Linked DNA regions of Danio rerio. The protein of the gene in region 1 interacts with the protein of each later gene in a biochemical or structural test. Links are inferred from orthologs where the notes say so. Each region holds a gene or a part of one and is shown in the gene's direction. Other genes may lie near its edges.

The links. The genes of interacting proteins can lie anywhere in the genome.
Region 2: the proteins of runx1 (region 1) and fosab form a complex in vitro, tested with the Homo sapiens proteins (2 studies listed by BioGRID). The link is inferred for Danio rerio from reciprocal best matches to the Homo sapiens genes RUNX1 and FOS.
Region 3: the proteins of runx1 (region 1) and dtx2 form a complex in vitro, tested with the Homo sapiens proteins (2 studies listed by BioGRID, with this or other methods). The link is inferred for Danio rerio from reciprocal best matches to the Homo sapiens genes RUNX1 and DTX2.

What each region holds. Positions count from the first base shown.
Region 1 is NC_133176.1:2,048,558-2,052,515, reverse strand, and holds part of runx1 (runt-related transcription factor 1), read left to right. Parts: intron 1-3,061; coding exon 3,062-3,576; 3' UTR 3,577-3,958.
Region 2 is NC_133195.1:49,905,809-49,910,097, reverse strand, and holds fosab (v-fos FBJ murine osteosarcoma viral oncogene homolog Ab), read left to right. Parts: upstream 1-1,368; 5' UTR 1,369-1,479; coding exon 1,480-1,584; intron 1,585-1,811; coding exon 1,812-2,021; intron 2,022-2,136; coding exon 2,137-2,244; intron 2,245-2,333; coding exon 2,334-2,960; 3' UTR 2,961-3,482; downstream 3,483-4,289. UniProt on the Homo sapiens protein: Nuclear phosphoprotein which forms a tight but non-covalently linked complex with the JUN/AP-1 transcription factor. In the heterodimer, FOS and JUN/AP-1 basic regions each seems to interact with symmetrical DNA half sites.
Region 3 is NC_133180.1:65,408,436-65,413,029, forward strand, and holds the start of dtx2 (probable E3 ubiquitin-protein ligase DTX2), read left to right. Parts: upstream 1-1,487; 5' UTR 1,488-2,000; coding exon 2,001-2,322; intron 2,323-4,594. UniProt on the Homo sapiens protein: Regulator of Notch signaling, a signaling pathway involved in cell-cell communications that regulates a broad spectrum of cell-fate determinations.

The sequences.
Region 1 (3,958 bases):
TAGTTTCAGAGGTGACGTGGTGGCTCATGGGTCAGCACTGTGGCCTCACAGCACGAAGGTCGCTGGTTCAAGTCCCAGCTGGGCCAGTTGGCATTTCTGTCAATTGGATAAACTAAATTGGCCATAGTGAATGAGTGTGTGTGAATGAGTGTGTATGGGTATTTCCCAGTACTGGGTTACAGCTGGAAGGACATCCGCTGTGTAAAACATATGTTGGAATAGTTGGTGGTTCATTCCGCTGTGGCAACCCCTGATGATTAAAGGGACTAAACTGAAGGAAAATGAATGACTGAACTACTATATTTTGCCAGTGATACTCTAAAATTTACAACCGTGCTGTAAATTAACAATTACAATGCTGTAGTTAAAAAAAAAACAGATTTCAAAACACTTCACAGGGATCTTTAATTTTTGGGTGTACTGTCCCTTGAAAGGTCTCATTAAATTAAAATGTTCTTAAAAAGGTTTTCAGATGTAAGTATCAGTATTGTTAGATATTAATATATATATATATGTATATATATATATATATATATATATATATATATATATATATATATACAGTTGAAGTCAGAATTGTTAGCCCCCTTAAATTATTAGACCGCTTGTTTATTCTTTCCCTAATTTCCGTTTAAGGGAGAGCAGATTTTTCCAACATGTTTCTAAACATAATAATTTTAATTACTCATCTCTAATAACTGATTTATTTTATCTTTGCCGTGATGACTGTAAATAATATTTTACTAGATATTTTTAAGACGCTTCTATACAGCTTAAAGTGACATTTAAAGGCTTAACTAGGTTAATTAAGTTAACTAGGCAGGTTAGGGGAATTAGGCAAGTTATTGTATAACAGTGGTTTGTTTTGTAGACTATCAAGAAAAAATATAGCTTAAAGAGGCTAATAATTTTGTCCCTAAAATGGTTCATAAAAAATTCAAAACTGCTTTTATTCTAGCCAAATTAAAACAAATAAGACTTTCTCCAGAAGAAAAAATATTATCAGACATACTGTAAAAATGTCCTTGCTCTGTTGAAAACCATTTGGAAATTATTTAAAAAAGAAGGAAAAAAATCGAAGGGGGCGAATAATTCTGACTTCAACTGTATATATATATATATATATCATGTGCTCAAAAACAGTAATTGTAAAAAAAATATATCTTCACACTTAGAAGATATAAAACTAATATAAAAATATACAGCAATGTATAGAAGAGGACTCTCACATTTTTGGGTGTACTGTCCGTTTAAAATGAGCTGAAACAATACAATTGGTGAGTTTTTTTTTTGACGGACAACTTTTAAGTAACCTAATTCCTGTTTTTCCCAACACAAACTGATTTTTGGGTGTATTGTTCCTGTCAGTTTAGTTTAGTTTAGTTTAGTTTAGTTTAGTTAACTTTATCTCAGTTATAGTAGATCATAGTTTTGTCATATATATATATATACAGATTCAGGAAATATTCACAATATATCTGATAATATTTGTTCTTCTGGAGAAAGTCTTATTTGTTTTATTTCGGCTAGAATAAAAGCAGTTTTTAGTTTTTTAAGCACCATTTTAAGGTCAATATTATTAACCCCTTTAAGCTATTTATTGTTTGATATTCTACAGAACAAACCATCATTATACAATAACTTCCTAACCTGCCTAGTTAACCTAATTAACCTAGTGAAGCCTTTAAATGTCACTTTAAGCTGTATAGAAGTGTCTTGAAGAATATCTAGTTTAATATTATTTATTGTCATTATGGCAAAGAGAAAATAAATCAGTTATTAGAGATGAGTTATTAACACTATTGTGATTAGAAATGTGCTGGAAAAATCTGCATATATTTACATATACACTACCAATCAGAATTTCGGGGTCAGTTTTTTAATATTTATTTATTTATTATTTTCTGTTCATCAAGGCAGCATTTATTTAACAAAAATAAATATTTCTTATTGTAGTTAGTTTTAAATGAAATTATTACTCAGGTCATTACTGCTTTTTTACCAAAATAATAATAACGATAATAATAATCATAATAATGATTAAAATAAGTGCGATTTCTGAAGAATCATGTGACTGAAGACTCTGAAAATTCATCTTTAAAATCACTAAAGTAAATGATTAAATTAAATGATAAACTGCTGTTGCGCAGTTATTTTATAGTGCAATAATATTTCACAATTGTACAACTTTTACTGTATTTGTGATTAAATAATATATATATATATATATAGTTAAAGACAGAATTATTAGCCCCCCTGTTTATTTTTTTCCCCAATTTCTGTTTAATGGAGAGCAGATTTATTCAACACATTTCTAATCACAATAGTGTTAATAACTCATCTCTAAATCTCTAATAACTGTTTAAATTTAATAAAATTAATAAATTAATAAATAAGTTAATAAATTTATCTTTGTTAGGGTAATTAGGCAAGTTATTGTATAACGATGGTTTGTTCTGTAGACTATCAAGAAAAAAGATATAGCTTAAAGGGGCCAATAATATTGTCCTTAAAATGGTGATTAAAAAATTAAAAACTGCTTTAATTCTAGCCAAAATAAAACAAATGAGAGTTTCTCCAGAAGAAAAAATATTATCAGACATACTGTGACCATTTCCTTGCTCTGTTAAACATCATTTAGGAAATATTTAAAAAAGAAAAAAAAATCTACTGTAATTGAGATAAAGTACTTTAATAAATCAAATATTTTTAACAGATTGGTTTTCAAGCACCTTAAAACAATTTGACATTCAGGTAGGAGGTAATAATAATACTGAAGCACTGTGATGATGGACTGAAGGCTGAGGTCTTTTAGAAACAAGCAAAACAACATTTCAGATCTATTACAATGTAAAGCTGGAATCGCTGCTTGGTCCATTAATGCGTCCGTCACACACATTTATATCTGATCATCATCTGTCAGAAACGAAACCTCATCATGCAGACTGATGAAGCGCATGCTGGAGGATATTCATTACATGTGTTTCCATGGTAGTTTACCTGCAGACCTTATATTTTGGGGTGTACTGTCCCTTTAAGAGCATCTGCTGTGTTTCCGCAGGTCCAGAGCTGACGGCGTTCACAGATCCCCGTGTGGGTTTGGAGCGCTCCTTCCCATCACTCCCATCTCTCCCAGATGGGCGTTTCTCTGACCCGCGGGTGCCGTACCCCACCGGCGCCTTCACCTACACCCCCACGCCCGTCACCAGCGCCATCGGTATTGGCATGTCAGCCATGAGCAGCCCTGCGGGACGCTACCACACATACCTGCCGCCGGCGTACCCCGCGGGCTCCTCGCAGGCCCAGGCTGGAGCCTTCCAGGCGAGCTCGTCCCCATATCACCTGTACTACAGCAGCGCTGCGGGCTCCTACCAGTTCTCCATGATGCCCAGCGGAGGGGCGGCAGCAGGGGAGCGCTCGCCGCCCCGAATCCTACCCTGCACCAACGCCTCCACAGGCTCCGCCCTCCTGCACCCCTCGCTCCCCAATCAGAGCGAAGGAGTGGTGGAGGCGGAGGGAAGCCACAGCAGTTCGCCAACCAGCATGTCTGTAGAGGCCGTCTGGAGGCCATACTGACAGCCAATAGCACGCCGGCAGCTCATTTAAAGGGACAGTTCACCCAAAAATGTACTTACTATTTCCAAATCTGTGAGTTTCTTTCTTCAGTTAAACACTAGAGGAGATATACTAAAGAAAGCAGAGATCTGTTGACTTCCATAGTAGAAAAACACATAAAAGTCAATTAATTTGACATGCTTTAGACTTTATTTTGAACAAATTAAATTAAATCAAATTATAAAAACAGCCAGAAAAGAGAAACTGATGTGTTTCTGTCATCATTAATGCCCCATCAGTGCATTTCCATGCTTTTTTATATGGTTTCTTTTCTAATTTGCATGTTAAGTGCAATTAAATTCTAAAATAAAATGTAAAGTCAAAGCATAAATAGGATATATGC
Region 2 (4,289 bases), on another chromosome or scaffold:
AGCATTTATTGTGTTTATACCAAAACTATTTTCGACTATAAAACGTTGCAATTTAGTTTTTTGCTACCCGTAAAGTATACACAATCAAAGCGGCGTGTTTATTTACCGGCAATACACAAAGCAGACTCTCGCTGCTGAAAGGTGAAACTTCAGAGTTCATTTGCACAGGCTCGTGTTGCAGTGACGACAGTGGGAGGGGCGTCGCTTAGACAACGCGGAAGATCAAACAAAACACGAGCAGAGAAGTGGATCAGTGACGTCACATGGGAACGCTGATAGAGCTGTTTTCGCTTGTTAATCAATAACAAACCTCATGTTTGCCCGTAGCCAACGGCAGACAAGTAATAAACGAAGACTTTTATACATGATAAACGTATAAATACGGACAATTAATGATGAGCAATACAAAAATGGTCCCTAAATAAACATGATTGAACTGATGTAGATGATTTTAATACATAATATAGTGATTCATATATTTTATTAAATATACTATAACGTATATATTGAAAAATGTATTGAATATAGCAGATTTAACACATTTAGACTACTACAAATCTTGCATTATTATTATTTACTGTGATGCAATAGGCTGAGGAAATAAATGAGCTCAGCATTTTGTTACAAAGGAATCCCTCGTTAACCGTGTGAAGGCAGTTCACACTGGAAATACGTGGTTTATGAGTCGACACGCCCTTTATACACCCAAAGGTACGAACACAGCCCGGGGCATGAAAGACTTTGAATACTTCTGCACAGAAATGATGAAATCTAGGACAACAGGTGCCATGTAAACACAGCATGGACGTGATATGTACTTAAAAAGACATATTCAATTTTGATCAAATGATTGTGTCAAGAAAATAATATAAAGTCATTAAATCAAGTTCATAAACTATAATAAAAATACATTTAGAGCTGATATAATAAGTATATTCTGTTAAATGCTGTTTTTATTTATTTATTTACTTGTAAAACATTGAAATCTTCTCGAACTATCTTTACATAATGCTGCTCACTTGCACAGAGTATTTCCCATAAGCACTCCGCCTCTTCAGGATGTTTTCCATATAAGTTAAATGACGTCTTGGGATACCCTGCTACGGAACATCGTCTCTTTCACTCCGTTTCACCCAGAAATAACAACATGCGAATGTTTTTAAAGATAAAATCTTACGTATTAAGCGTGTATTCTTGCATTATTAATGTTTCGATAATGTATTCAGTAAAATGCGCTCGCGAAGACGTGTTTTTAACGTTTCTATGCAAACACTGAACGCACATGGCCACGCCCCTCCCTTTGACGTCAGGCACAGATCTGGATATAAACCCCGCGAGCGCTGTGGAGCGGCAGTCAAACTTTGGATACCAAAACAGAGAAAAGAGCAGCAGACGAGCAAGGAAATACAAGACCGGAGCGTTTTTAACTTTCTGGATATATTAGCGCTGGATAGCTCGTGCTTTTCGACTTTTGACAGGATGATGTTTACCAGCCTTAACGCCGACTGCGACGCGTCTTCCCGGTGCAGCACGGCTTCACCGAGCGGCGACAGCGTCGGGTATTACCCGCTCAACCAGACTCAGGTATTTACATGACAGCAATATATTTAGAATGATCATTTCAGATAAATCATGATTTAAGTCAGTTTATTTATGTTTTTAAAGTATATTATGTTCTGTATTATGTTATAATCTGAATGAAACCCCATAAACAGTAATATAAACAAATAAATTGTATATATATTAGTTTTGTGACTAATCAAAATATATTGTTTATCATATAATAAACGATTTCATATTCTATATTTCAGGAGTTCACGGATCTGAGTGTCTCAAGTGCCTCTTTCGTGCCAACTGTCACGGCGATCTCTTCATGCCCGGACTTGCAGTGGATGGTCCAGCCCATGATCTCCTCTGTGGCGCCCTCCAACGGCGCAGCTCAATCCTACAACCCGAGCTCTTACCCCAAAATGAGGGTTACTGGAGCAAAGACCTCCAACAAGAGAAGCAGATCTGAACAGGTAAATAATTTGCAATTAACTTTTGTTTTAAAATCAACTGACAAACAACTGACAATCTACATTTTGAATGTTAATTTGCCAATGCTAAAACACCCTTATTTTTGTGCTTCTGCAGCTTTCTCCAGAAGAAGAAGAGAAGAAAAGAGTACGTCGTGAACGAAACAAGATGGCTGCTGCGAAATGCCGCAACCGTCGACGTGAACTCACCGATACACTGCAAGCTGTAAGTATTCTGCATTTTCCCTCCAAATCCCATTCTAGCTCGTTCCATCCATGACATCATTAAACTAACCCTTTGATGTTCCACAACAGGAAACTGACCAGCTTGAGGATGAAAAATCCGCCCTGCAGAACGACATCGCCAACCTGCTCAAAGAAAAAGAGAGGTTAGAGTTCATCCTCGCCGCACACAAACCCATCTGCAAGATCCCGGCCGACGCCAGCTTCCCAGAGCCGTCCTCCTCTCCCATGGGCTCCATCTCAGTCCCAGAGATCGTCACTACCTCAGTGGTCTCTTCCACACCAAACACATCAATCACGACCTCTTCCAGCAGCCTGCTGTTCTCCAGCACGGCCTCCACCGACAGCTTCAGCTCCACCACAGTGAAGATCTCTGATCTGGAGCCCACTCTAGAGGAGTCTCTGGAGCTCCTGGCTAAAGCGGAGCTGGAAACGGCTCGCTCGGTTCCAGACATGGACCTGTCCAACTCTCTGTACACTCAAGACTGGGAGCCGCTCTACACGCCGGCTAACACTGACCTGGAGCCGCTTTGCACACCCGTCGTCACCTGCACTCCAGCCTGCACCACCTACACGTCTTCCTTCATGTTCACCTACCCAGAAAACGACGTCTTCCCGACATCAGTGCATCGCAGGGGCAGCAGCAGCAACGATCAGTCGTCCGACTCCTTGAATTCCCCAACCCTCCTCACTCTTTGAGATTCCACTAAAGACTATTAGTATTTATATCTGTGACTTGATTTCGAATGGCATTGCAGGGCTATGGAAGTGACTCTAAAGCAATGGATATTGCTTCCTATATTTATCTGAACCATACATGCCTGCCACATGTAGCAAGATAAGCATGGATCAACTGATTTTATTTGCATTAATGATCTGGTTAGTGTTGAGTTAACCTAATATAGTTATTTTTCTGAGTTTACCGGTGCTAGATTTGTTGTATTTAGTGTGTTCTGAGCAATAGAGAACTATCATGTTATTTTTTTTCGGCCGTTTAACGGTTGATTTCTGAACGTGTGAATGTTGTTTACTCAAATGTGTGCTGCCTAACCATTGCATTAAATGGTCTGACGTCCAAGTATGAAGTTTTCTGTGAAAACGTAGTCTCTCTTTTAATTTATGGAGTTTTTATTTTTGTACTGAAATGTGAACTTGCGAATTGTTTGCAAAAAACAAACAAAAAAAACTAGACACAATAAATATTAAATGTATAAACTAAAAGATTTGTGTGAATGCGAGCTTATTGTGTGGCTTGAAAATACAGTTTACAGCAGTGTTTCCCAACCATGTTCCTGAAGGACAACCAACACTGCACATTTGTTGCTAGATCAAATACGGTTGAGGATGGAAGTTAACTAAGTAGACTGAGAAGGCTGTTATCGTCCATCCACATGGTTAATCATCTATAGATCACATATGGTTGCGGCCGGATGTTAGCGAGATTTATATTATTTATTAAATTTCCTATTAATTGTATTCTATTAACGGCTTCCCCCACCCCAACTATCACAGTAATGTAAAAACAGTCGATGTATGGAGTATTACTTATGCTATCTGTTAAAATAATTCATTCATTTTCTTGTCGGCTTAGCCCCTTTATTAATTTGGGGTCGCCACAGCGGAATGAACCGCCAACTTATCCAGCACGTTTTTATGCAGCGAATGCCCTTCCAGCTGCAACCCATTCCTGGGAAAGCTATCTATTAAATTACCCAATACATTTTATTTTTTAATACCCACCCCCAACCAAACCTAACAATCACAGTACTGTAAAGATATTAATTATTGTTATAGAGTGTCATTAAAAAACGCTGCTATATTGATGTGCATATCGCACCTCCAGCCGGCCACATATCCAATGTAGACTTTACTGTCTCCTTTAGCTGTCACACCCATCACAGGTCTTTCAGTCTCTGCTAATGGTCTGAATTAGGTGTGTTTGGTTAAGGAGACATAGAGCTGGTGGTTGAGAAACACTGATCTACAGAATTCAGCTCGGTAAGATTTCTTTGTAAAGCGATGGCTAAG
Region 3 (4,594 bases), on another chromosome or scaffold:
AACCTATGCAAGCAGGTAAAGAGATCCGAGAACTAGTAATAACGAAGCGAATATCTTTGCTAGACATAGAACTGAGAAGAGTTTTGTCAACAAAAAGATTTGTGTTGTCAAAAATAAAAGAATCTAAAGAACCTTTAGGGCCAGATTTGACCAAAGGTATAATACAATCAGGGATTGTACCAAAAACTATGGCATATTATTTAGGGGGAACAGGAAAATAGAACTGATGCATAAAGTTTTCGTATGAAAAAGGTACACCACAGTCATCTAAGAGCTATACTAAACTAAAAGTATATTTTTATTAAAGTGAGTGTGTGTGTGTGTGTGTGTGTGTGCGCTGGTTTTTGGTGGTTTATGAGGACAAAATTTTGTATGACCTAGGCATTACAATGTTGTGGTGGTTAATGAGGACATTACACGTGTCCTTGTAAATCAAAACGGTTAAAGTCATACTTAACAGGGTCTTTTGACATTACAAAGTTTGTCATGTTTCATTTGAAGTTGGGTTTAGGGGTAGGGTGTATAATAATCGTTTTTTTTACAGTATATAATACATTACGACCATGTAATGTCCTCATAAACGTGTGCGTGTGTGTGTAATTATGCACTGAAGCTTTACGCGTATACTGAGAATTATTTTAAAGTTATTTAGAAACAACTTCAGATTGAGTTTAGATGAATGGAGATTATTTTCCTGACACATCAGGATAGCATTAGCACCACCTACTGGATTGAAGACAGGATCACACATTTTCATCTTTACAGTTTTCATTTACAGTGGTAGGTTACAATTAACACGTTGTAAACCACAGGCTATTGTAATGAAAATTGTTATGGTTTCCAGTGTAATGCAAAAAAACGTATTACAATAAGATTTATTAGTTTTAACATACCACAAAAACAAAGCATACAGGCAACAAGAGACTCACAGGAAACATTTGCAGTTTCCATTACAACCAATACAATTACCATTGACACAATTACAAATTCTATTAAAGTTTCAGGATTCAGATCTTACATGACAAAAGTTTTATTACACATTAATTACATTTAATTACACATTAATTAATTCTGACTAATATTTTGGTACAATTGAGAACTCGTGTATTACAGATATTTAAGTGGGATTCTTGTGTTTAACCACAAATACCATATTTAAAATGTATTTATAGAAACATTATTTCTCTATTATAGATCAGTGGTTGTAACACAATAAATCACTTATGAACGTCATCTACAAAGAAAAACGCAGCGTGACTTTTATTTTGTTATTAGTCAGTGTATTACGCTTTTAAAATAAAAGCCATCTGCCGTTGACAACGTACGCAATATAAAGATAAGCATTCAAATTTTGAAGTTAACCATAGCAAAGCATAAACAAAGAATAGACAGTAGTCATTTAAAAAAATCGACATTGCTTTTATATTTGAACAATTTAAAATGTAAACATACCGACAACAAGACGGGTGCTGTTTGTGTCTGCCTTCACAGTGTGTATCTATGGGAATCCACCAGCAGCGACACAAACACACACCGCAGCAGAGGAAGTGTGTCACAAACCACTGCGTACTTTTAAAAACCATGCCGAGCGGCGAGTTTTAAATCACGACCATGCAGCATTAGCCGCCTGCCGACCTAACAGAAACTGTTATTTTACATGAATCCGATTAATGAGCCCGGTAGCCGAGCAGCATCGCACTGAATGGCGAAGAGAAGAGCGAGACGCGGCTAGTCTGAAGCTGCGACTCCAGCAGCCGAGCAAAGAAGATGCGACATCAGTGGGATTACCTTCAAATCTGCGGATAAATAAATGTTCACTCCTGAATTAAACACAGTTTTAACGACATCGAGCGATCTCTTATAGGATACTGCGGGTTAGCTGGGTGGAAAACGAGTGAAACTGAAAGGGTGGTGGTGTTGTTGTTAGCTGGGCCAGGCAGCCCCACTGCTTAACTCCGGCTTATTTTAGGATCGGTTGGGGTCATTTCTTAGCAGACACAATGGCAACAGGCTCCAGTTTCCCTTCCGGAGGGAGTGGAACTAGAAACGGACCGTCTTTCGCTTCGCCGTCGACTTCGTCTGTCACCTCGTCTGGGGTGCCCGGACAAGCTCAGCCGATGGCGGTGGTTTGGGAATGGCAGGATGATCTGGGCTTCTGGAGGCCCTACACCGGACAGGTGAGCAGCTACATCGAGCAGTGCCTCCAGCACCAGAGAGGGGCAGCGGTCGCCGGGAGCAGCATCTGTCTGGCTCAGGCAGACCCCAGCCTGTCCTCCTACATCATCGACATCCCCAACCTCAAACAGTTCAGACAGGACACTGGTGAGTCTGTACTCAACACATCAAACTGATGAATAACAGCAAAAAAGTACTATGAAACTTGTAGCTGTACATGGGCCTGTATAAGATTCGGATGGTATGAAAACCTTGCACACAAATATCGCCGTATTGTGATTAATGTTAATGCTATAAAACAGTTTTATTTTAAATGTCTAACAAACTATTCCCATCAAACAGAATATATTTTACTTTAAGAAACGTTTAAAATATCTTGGAACAGTAAATGTGAGGCTAAATGAATATAATAAATTCTTCAGTGTGTTAATATGGACACCAATAATGCTCTGATAAAGCATTGTCTACCATGTAAACAGAGATTTATGATTAATTTAATTTGATTAAGGTCTTAATCTTACTAAACAGAAATCAAATTAAGACATTTAGTCGCATTATTGAAATGTAGTACAGATATATAAACATGTAGGACTTTCAGTGAAATTTGCGACAGGATAGTCTATATGGCTGTACAAACACTATTCTTTGCATCTCTCGAGTCAATGAAGGACCACAGACACCTGCATCACAAAATGCGGAGGTTTATTTTCCCTCATCATATTACATTAAAACAACACTCTTCTAGCAGTTCATACTCGCATGCAATTTCTTATTTGTCATGGGGCGCATGCATGAAATGTTCCAGAATGAAAGTGAAAGTACCAAACTGCAGTAAAAGTCGACAACTTAAAAATGAAACACCTGAAATTACACGAAACCCAGCAGGAAATGTGGATAGCTAAAACAAGGCTAAATTTGGCCTGTCAGTGAAAATCTAATAGACATTTAAGAATCGGCCAACATTCGACTAGTCATCAAATAAACAGAAATGAATGACTAATGATCTGTTTAATCTGCATATTTGATGACTAATCGAATATATAGATTAATCAAATAGTGTTTTATAATTTTAGTTTTCATTTTTGGGTGAACGATCCCTTTAATCAACATATTTTATAATATTTTAGGCAAATGAAAGCATCACTTCAGGTGATGAATTACAAAACAATTGTGTGAAAGTGAATATCCATGTTTTACGTATGGCAAGCATTTTCTTTTTGTTTAAAATGAGATCTAATAGATGTCTAATAGACATCTAAGGCTAGATAAAACATTGCCAAACGTGGTTTGTCAGTGAAAATCTAATAGACCTCTAAGAATGGCCCTAAACTAGTTATCAAAACCACAGGAATGAATGACTGCACACGTGTGGAGTCTGTCTAATCGGTGTATTTGAGCACTAGTCTAGTTTTGGGCTGTTCTTAGACGTCTATTAGATGTTCACTGACAGCCTATTTAGCCAAGATGGATCTATTAGACATCTATTATGCATCTATTAAACAGAATTGCTTTGCAAGGTGTTGCATAAAAAAATGACTTTTTAATAATGTAAACAAAGAAAAATAATTTAAACTTTGCAGTAGAGAGAGACCTCTTTCATACACTGTAAAAAATGCCGGGTTCCACATAATTCAGTCATGTTGTTCCAACACAAATCGATTAATTAATTTAACACTTTTAACAAATTAATGTGGATCGAACATAAAAAAAATTAAGTTGTCCGAATGAACTCTCAAGAATTATGTTGTTTCAGCTCATTTTAAATAAGTAGTTAAACGAGCAAAACAAAATATTTTTTGAATGTAACATTAAATTATATTAATATATACATTTTTACTTGTCTTGGACTGTTATACTACGATATGTGAAGTTATTACTGTCTAGTACTGCCACAGCACTTTAAGAGAGTGTTAGGGAAATGTGCTTTTTGCTCATTTGGATTAAGTAAATGTGTTGTCAAGGAAGAGTCTGTAAAATCCACAGAGTGAAAGAAGCCCTGTGTGAATCTTGGCTGAAACTGATTAATTCACTTGCTCTAAATGTATGGTATTTATGCTTTATCCTTGATAACAGGTCATCAAAGCTGCTGGGAAAAGCAGTGTAGTGTGCTGCAGTATGACACATAGGCTTTATATATACTCATATAGATGGATGCAAAGTTTTAAAAAAGATAGCATTTTGTCTGTTAGCTGGAGATTAGACTTGTTTTGGTGGGTGTTTAAATGACTTCTGACACCTGTGGTCTCTATGGAAAAGAACAGGAAAGAGGTGACAAATCTCAGGAAACAAGCTAACAGATTCCGACAGGATGCACAGCGTACTCCATTTGTGAAATAACAGCTCTTTCTCACATTTGTTTTTAGAAAAGATGCACTTTGTTATAAGTTGAAAAATGTGTAAATATCTTTTGGAATGATGA